2 linked regions of the Oryctolagus cuniculus genome follow. The protein of the gene in region 1 binds, or shares a complex with, the protein of each later gene. Links are inferred from orthologs where the notes say so. Each region holds a gene or a part of one and is shown on either strand. Other genes may lie near its edges.

Evidence for each region.
Region 2: MAP3K5 (region 1) and DAB2IP share a complex: the UniProt entries of both Homo sapiens proteins name them as parts of the cytoplasmic complex. The link is inferred for Oryctolagus cuniculus from reciprocal best matches to the Homo sapiens genes MAP3K5 and DAB2IP.

The regions. Positions count from the first base shown.
Region 1 is NC_091436.1:32,159,618-32,163,429, forward strand, and holds part of MAP3K5 (mitogen-activated protein kinase kinase kinase 5), read left to right. Parts: intron 1-2,191; coding exon 2,192-2,385; intron 2,386-3,284; coding exon 3,285-3,453; intron 3,454-3,812. UniProt on the Homo sapiens protein: Serine/threonine kinase which acts as an essential component of the MAP kinase signal transduction pathway. Plays an important role in the cascades of cellular responses evoked by changes in the environment.
Region 2 is NC_091432.1:225,763,027-225,766,838, reverse strand, and holds part of DAB2IP (disabled homolog 2-interacting protein), read right to left. Parts: intron 3,343-3,812; coding exon 3,244-3,342; intron 2,438-3,243; coding exon 1,883-2,437; intron 1-1,882. UniProt on the Homo sapiens protein: Functions as a scaffold protein implicated in the regulation of a large spectrum of both general and specialized signaling pathways.

The sequences.
Region 1 (3,812 bases):
TGAATGTGTGACCGTCTGTACCATGGTACATGGGAGTGGTAAGTGAATGTTTGCTCTTACTCATTTAGTGCCAAGGGGAAGAGAACTATTCTCAGGTTGATCGTATGCCGAAATGACTGCGAACCCATGCCCTGGATTCCTTGTGATCCCATAACAGTGAGAGTAGGGTCTTCCACATATCTTGTTCTTGTTTGTAACCCTTGGTTTTTACCTTTGCATATGGTTTATCTCTTATGGGTCTCTCCCATTTCCTCTGAGTCAACTCTTCTTTTGGATGTTATGATATTAAATCTCAAACTCTTGATCCTTTAAATCTCAACCTCTCTCAGCGCCATTTCATCTCATCCTACACCAAATCAAATGTCAGTCTTCTCAAGTTTTCCTCATAGTTTAATGGGAAGCCAGATTCTGTTTGTGATTCATGACCTGATGTATAGTAAGTGCCTCAAAGTGCACTATGTTCATAAATGATGTAGTCTGACTGTACTGGCTTTCTGTGAAAGATGCCAGTCTTTTGAGATAGCCCCAGCTGAGACTGTGGAATCACCTTTGACCCCTCCTTTCACTTTGTCCAGACCTGGAAGTGGGCCAGTGAGGCTTCCTTTGGGGTGGGAGCACATGTGCCTGTTTTGCTCTTGCCACTGCTGCCAATCTGGTCATGCTTTGTAGCTTCCTGTTGAATTTCCTCAAATTCTTCTTTTTTTTGTCCTGGGGTGCGTCCCATGATCCACTCAGACTCAATTCTAATTTCTTTTTTTTATTTAATAAATATAAATTTACAAAGTACAACTTTGGAATTGTTGCGGCTTTTTCTCCCATAACCTCCTTCCCACTTGCAACCATCCCATCTACCACTCCCTCTCCAATCCCATTCTTCATCAGGATTCATTTTCTTTTTTTTTTTCTTTTTTAGGATTCATTTTCAATTATCTTTATATACAGAAGATCTTGGTCTTTCTATGATTCTCCACTGCCCAGCATACACGAGGGTACTTCAGAAAGTTTGGGGAGCAGAGTGGAAAGCAGTTTGGTGTGAAAGATTTTGAAATCCATGTGTTGTTTTTTTCTTGAAATACATTTTCCATGCATTGTTGAAGACCCCTTGTGCAGTTCTGAATCCTGCTCTTTGCGTGCACTTCCCTTCCTTGAGCCCCAGGCTTTGCTCAGATTTGCTTACTCTGGCATGTCTAGGCCAACTCCCTTTTTCTTCTTGCCAGCTTTGCTTTTGTTGGTGTTGCCACACCCTCACTTGGCATCATCTGGGAGCCAAAGAAGGTCAGTGAGCCTGGGGTGGAATGAGTGAGAGGAGAGAGGCCTGAGCTAAGGTTAGAGGGTAGCAGGATGTGGCTATTCAGGCCCTTGTGGACCACACTGCAGTGTTTCATCGTCAGCCTGAATAGCACATGGTGGGGCTCTCAGCAGCTGCACGAGTGCTCAGGACCTATGGAGTGTTACAGCTCGCTGCCAGCGGGGTACAGAATGGATTGAAAGGCAAGGAAGGAAGCAGGGCCACCAATTACAGTGACTTCGTACCCAGTGAGCTGGTGCAGGGACGAAAGAGCTGACACGGAAGATGGAGGCAAGTGAGCAAACAGGAGATTTGTTTTGAAGACACAATAGATAGGATTTTGGTGGGATATGGGGCAGGAAGGAAATGGATGCAGCAAGGATAGTTTCTGGGTCTCTGGGTAATAACCGGGGACTCATGGAACCTCAGACTGAACCAGCAGCCTGGAGAGGAGCAGCTTCATTCCTGTCTCCCTCACAACACAGCCTGTCACGTAGGAAGCCCTTTAAATGTTAACTCTTAGTATCCTGTGTTTATGCTGTGCTTCTCGGAGTACATTTTAAATTCCCTGAAGGCCAAAGGCTGTGCTTTAAACTATTTTTCCTACAGCATCTATCATAGTGCCTTAGCCAGGAAAGGTGGTGAATCAATATTTAATTGAGTGACAAAAACTGTTCCACACTTTGTTTCTGCCTCCTTTCCAAGTCCTAATTATTTGAAGTAAGCAATTAAAGAAATTGGGGAAAATTTCTATTTTCATATATCATACATACAATGCGAGGTTTTTCTATATTTGCACTCAGAAGTGTTATTTAATACGAGTCACTGGAGTCGGGCCTGGGATTCGTCCGTGTGGTATCCTCAGGCTGGCTCCCTACCTCCTGGTGCCTGCTGTCTCCACAGATGTGCACTGGGAACTACACCTTTGTCCCTTACATGGTGACACCACACAACAAGGTCTACTGCTGTGACAGCAGCCTCATGAAGGGCTTGACTGAGCTCATGCAACCCAACTTGGAGCTGCTTCTCGGACCCATCTGCTTACCTCTTGTGGATCGTTTCATTCGACTTTTGAAGGTGGCACAGGCAAGTTCCAGGTAATGTGCAATAACACCATTTGGTGATGATAAGGAATGGTTCTACTTCTTTTACTTATCCATAGAAGATGATCCTCAGGAATCAATATACAGCTAAGAACCAGGATAAATGTTGCACACTGTCTTCCGGGGTAGGGAATATCTCGCTGGCAGTCTGTATAAGGCCAGTGAGATCATTTAGTCTGGCCCTGCAAAGGCAATCATGGGTGGGATTTGAAATTCAGTAAATCTATGGTAGGCTAATTTTTAAGTTGATAATTTAGTTTGTCCCATGCTTGATGTCATAAATATCCAAATGGCACTTGGCAGAGAAAAGGTTCCCCACCCCTGCAAGCAGATAATATACTCATAGATGTCATATAGTTCACATGTTGCCTTGTGTTTATTTTACTCACAGGACAACTTGGTATCAGAAGGAATAAAGACTACTAACTGCTTTATAGGAGTGTCAGAGCTAAAATACATACCGAAACCTTATCAGAATAAGGTCCAAGGACTTTTCAGCATAAGGACAAGAATTCTGCAAAAATTGCTGAGGCAGATGTTGATTAAGAGCAAATGTTTATGTTCATAAATGATGCTGAGTCAGAAAGTACAGGTTATATGATTTAGAACAATTCCTGCTCAGAAAAGTCAATCAAAAATGTGGTTTTGTGGTTTAAGTGGTACGATGCATGGAGATTCATTTACATAGTATTCCTTATAACTCTTTTTGAAACAAGACAGAATATGAAAGGAAATACAGGGACTTCAAAATTTCTAAATAATGACAGATTATGAGATATTCATTCTGTTCACACTAAGTAATTGAAAGCTATGAGTACACAAATGTCATTCATTTTCTTATAAAATTACTATTTTTATTGAAATCTTTGGAATGTGTTTTGGTTTCTCCACAGCCAATATTTCCGTGAATCTATACTCAGCGATATCAGGAAAGCTCGAAATTTATACACTGGTAAAGAATTGGCAGCTGAATTGGCAAGAATTCGGCAACGAGTAGATAATATTGAAGTCTTGACAGCAGATATTGTGATCAACCTGTTACTTTCCTACAGAGATATCCAGGTAAGAAGATACTTAACAGTAAAATCTGTCCTGTAGGATGTTGGAAGGGAGTGCAAATGTCAAATTTCTGTTACCATATGTAGTTTTTTTTTTAATTGGTTCTCATGAGTTTTCCATCCCATGATTTTATGATGAAAGAAGACTCCTGTGAGTTAACTGTCAGTGATTGAGGAAAACTTTCATGGTAAAGGCCTGATTTTTCCCTTTAAAAAAAAAAAAGAAAAGAAAAATGCTAATAGGGCTATCCTATGTACAGTCTGTTCCACTCAGACACACTTGTCAGTCAATAAATGAAAGCTGGTTTAGGGAAACAGCAGAAATTTTTAGAGCCTTCTGGATATAGCCTTTATTCTTTGAAA
Region 2 (3,812 bases), on another chromosome or scaffold:
CAGTGCCAAAGAGGATGAGCGGGGCTGCCAGGAGCCGCCCGTGCCCCTGGGGGCGCCCACACTGGACACAGCTGCGCTCCAGACCCTCCTGTGACGGAGCACATTTCGTCCTGCTGCTCCAGCATGGCCCCTGCTCAGCCTGAGGCCTCCCCGGTGCAAGGGAAACCTTCCTGAGAGGCGGGCCCCCTAAAGGAGGGCAGGGGCCAGCACGGACCAGTAAGAGTTGAAAGGGGGAGGGTGAAAGTTGAGAGGGGAGAGCAAGGCACAGAACAGGGCCACACGGCTCCCTGGGGCAAGGTTGGGCCCAAGTCTTGCTTCCCAGGCCCTGTCACTCCTGGATACCGGGGGGGGGGGGGGGGGGGGTTGCAGGGGGAGTCTAGGACCTGACTCTGAAAAGCCGCAGCCTAGGCAAGCGGAGCCTGGGACAGGACAGGCTGTCCGCTCACCGCCGCTCCAGCTGCCTCGTGGGGCTTCCAGCCTCTTGCAAGGGTTCCCAAGTGTTCCAGAGACAGGGACTCAGGTGCACAGCACCCAGTGGCATGGGTGTCCACCTTCTGCTCCCCTCCCCTTCAGAGGCCAAGAGAGCTCAGGCAGCCTCTTGCCTCAGACAACTTCAGATCTGAACCTGCTTCCTGAGCCTTCCTGGCCCTGAAGACCAGGCACTGGAAGATCAGACCCGGCAGCAGAACAAATCAGCGCCTCTGTTGCCTCTTGCGCCTCCTCTGGGAGCCACAGGCTTCCTCAATCCACTGCATTTCCTAGAACCCATGCACCACTGCCCAGTGAAGGACAGGGTATGCAGAGCTGGCCTAACTACAGCCTTGGCGGTCAAGTGCAAAGGCTGGGGGGCGGGGAGATGGTCCACCAGAAAGCAGTACCCTTGCCCGCTCCCATGGAGCCATGGGGGCAAGTTCCTCTCCCAGTCCTGCACCTGTCTCACACCACATCTGGCAGGTGGGGGTGCCACTGAGGGCCTGTAGAAGGCCAAGGAACTTCCAGCCATGGCTTCTCCATCAGGACCTCAAAGGACTCACTTGCCCCTGGGCTACCCTGGGGTCCTCAAGCCAAGTTCCCAACCTGTGCCTGACCAGCCCTTGGCTAAGAGCTCAGGACCCGGACCCAGGGCAGTGCCCTTCCCCAACACGTATGTCACTCTTAAACCACACCACCGACCAGAGAGCTGAGGCCCAGCTCCTTAGCTCAACTCAGGAGGCCTTATCCACCTCACAGAGGCCTCAGGTCCAGCCCCCTTCCTCCGCCCACTTCCTCCCAAGGCCAAGGCACTGTGAAGAAGGGAGGTCCACCTGGGAGGCCTTCAGGAGCCACGTTCCACTGAGCTGGGCAGGTGGGAGACGGCACATCTAGGGCTCCCCAGGCCAGGAGTGGAAGGGAGAGGAGGTGGGCGGGGGTGGAGAGACAGGAGGGCCTGCCAGAGTGGCTGTCAGACTGTCTTCATGTTCCTGTGGGCCTCGGGCTGGCTGCCTACCCAGGTGAGTGTGGGGAGACTGTCAGCTGGTGCCCCACCTGCTGGGAATGTCTGCCAGACTGGGTGTGTGTTGGGGTGGTGGTGGGGGGGTGGAGCTGGTCACGAGGCCAGTGGGTTGTGGGGCCAGGGTGTGCTGGGGGAGCCCAGTTGCACCCCCTGCACCCCCTTGGGCCGAGAGGGAGGCAGCTGAAGGCTCTACTCATGCCTCAGGAGTCAGACCCATTCGTGCTGGGAGACAAAGCCTGCCCAGTGGTAGAACTCTCAGGATCAGGGAGCCCACCCAGCCGTGACTGGTGCCACCAAGGCCTCCATGAACGCTGGCTGGACGGACCCGGAGACGGGCAGGTGACCCCGCGCTTGCAGAAGCCCTCCCTGGGAGCCAGGGCCTGCACGCACCTTCACCTTGCCCGTGCTCTGCAGGATGTGCACCAGGGCGGACGCCATCTCCTCCTTGGTCTTGGCGCTGAGGATGGGTTCCAGGGCGGCGCACAGCCCCAGGTAGTGGTTGGTGATGTGCTCGGCAAACTCCTTGTACATCTCCATGGGCAGGATGGTGATGGTCTGGTAGCGGGCCTTGATGCGGATCATGGGCCCGGGGCCCTTGCCGCCTTTGGGGTTGGGCGTCACCACCGGGTACCACTTCTCCACGAACTGCCGCCCGGCCACCGAGGCAGCGGGCAGGCTCACCAGGCCCAGGTAGCTGTTGCGTTCCTTCTTCTTCTTCTTGTCAGTCTCCCGGTACAGGTGGACGGTGACCGTGCGCAGGGGCGGCAGGTTGTGGAACTCGAAGTGCTCTCCCCAGAAGACGTTGTCCGTCTTGAGCTTGCCCGTCGTCCGGGCGTACAGCACGTCGTCCAGGCACAGCTCGCACAGGTACTTCTTCTTGGCTGGCAGGTCCTTGGCCTCGATCACCCACAGCTTGAGCACATGCTCCACGCGCCGGCTGTTGTCCTGCGCGTGCACAGGGGCCCGGGCATCAGACATGGGAAGTCTTCAAATCAGGTGGGGGGAGGGGTGGGCCAGGCCCTGGGAGGGGGAGGGGTAAGGCAGGAGGCGACGGACACAGGCTGGGTCTCTAGTCTAGTCTGCCTCCCGTGTGCGCTGACCTGGGGTAGGTCACTTAACCAGAGCCTCAGTTTGCATTTCTACCAAATGAGAATAAAAACGCCGCCCTACGGAGTGAGAGACTGAGTACGGAGGCCAGCACGCTGCCTGGCCCATTTCAGGTTACGAGGCCACGACTACCTCCTTACTTGGCTGGGCTGTAAAGTCACTTAAGAAGTGACCATTGCTAAGGTCCCTTCCTCAGTGATGTCACAGTGACCAGGACTTGGCCCAGGCCCTCAAGCCAGCTGGGGAAACGGATATAGATGCAAGGGTGGCCTCTGGGGTCCCACAACCTGACACGAGAGCCCAGGGTCCCCCTCTGTGGGAATACAGACAGGTGCACCAACCCAGACCAGGGTGCTTGTCCTGAGGAGATGCAGATGTCTCAGGCAGGATGAGATGGCCCAGCAGCTAGGGACAAGTGGGCACAGGGCTCCAGGCAGAAGGCTGCAGGGCCAGCTCCTCCTCCACGTGTAGCTTCAAGAACACAAGCCCAGAGCCTGGCCCAGCCTGGCCGAGTCAATCTCCTCGTTCAGGGCGCAAGAACATTGCCCACGCAGGCTGCTCCCATGCCAGCCCTCGCCCTCCTGCTGCCTCGTGTCTGTCTGACCTCCATCCCCCGTGCTTTGGCAAGAGAGGCACAGAACTACCTTGTTGGGGTGCACTGCTCGCCGCAGGTTCTCCATCCACTTATCCCGCTCGGCTGCTGACCGGCAGGAAAAGCACTTGCTTCCCGATGACGTGGTCACCTGTGGGGACAGGCAGGACGGCGTTACAGGGGGAGGGACCACGCAAGGCTGAGTGGCGACAGAAGACCTCCGGGGACTGTGGTCTCCACTGTGGCCTCAGGTAGGAGGCAGGACAAGGCCCTTGTTACCCCACAAGGTCACGTCCTGTAGGCAGTACACTGAGACCCAGGACCCGGAGCAAGCCAGCAGCAGGACGGCGGCCCCACCTGCAGCGTCAGGCTCCTGCTCCAGGCTCCTCAACCTTGCCTCGATGTCCTTTGGTCCAAACAGGAAAGCAGTTCCTGACCCCAACCTGCCTGTCCCTGAGACAGCGGCAGAGAAGGAACAGGGCCCCTGCCGGGTCACAGGGCAACGTGCAGCCCAAGGGGAGCTTCACTAAGGATACACGCACGGGGAGGTATGACAGGCACCTCAGCTGACCTTGTCGGAGGGTTCTCACTGGCCAAGCAACAGTGACGACGTTGGGACCT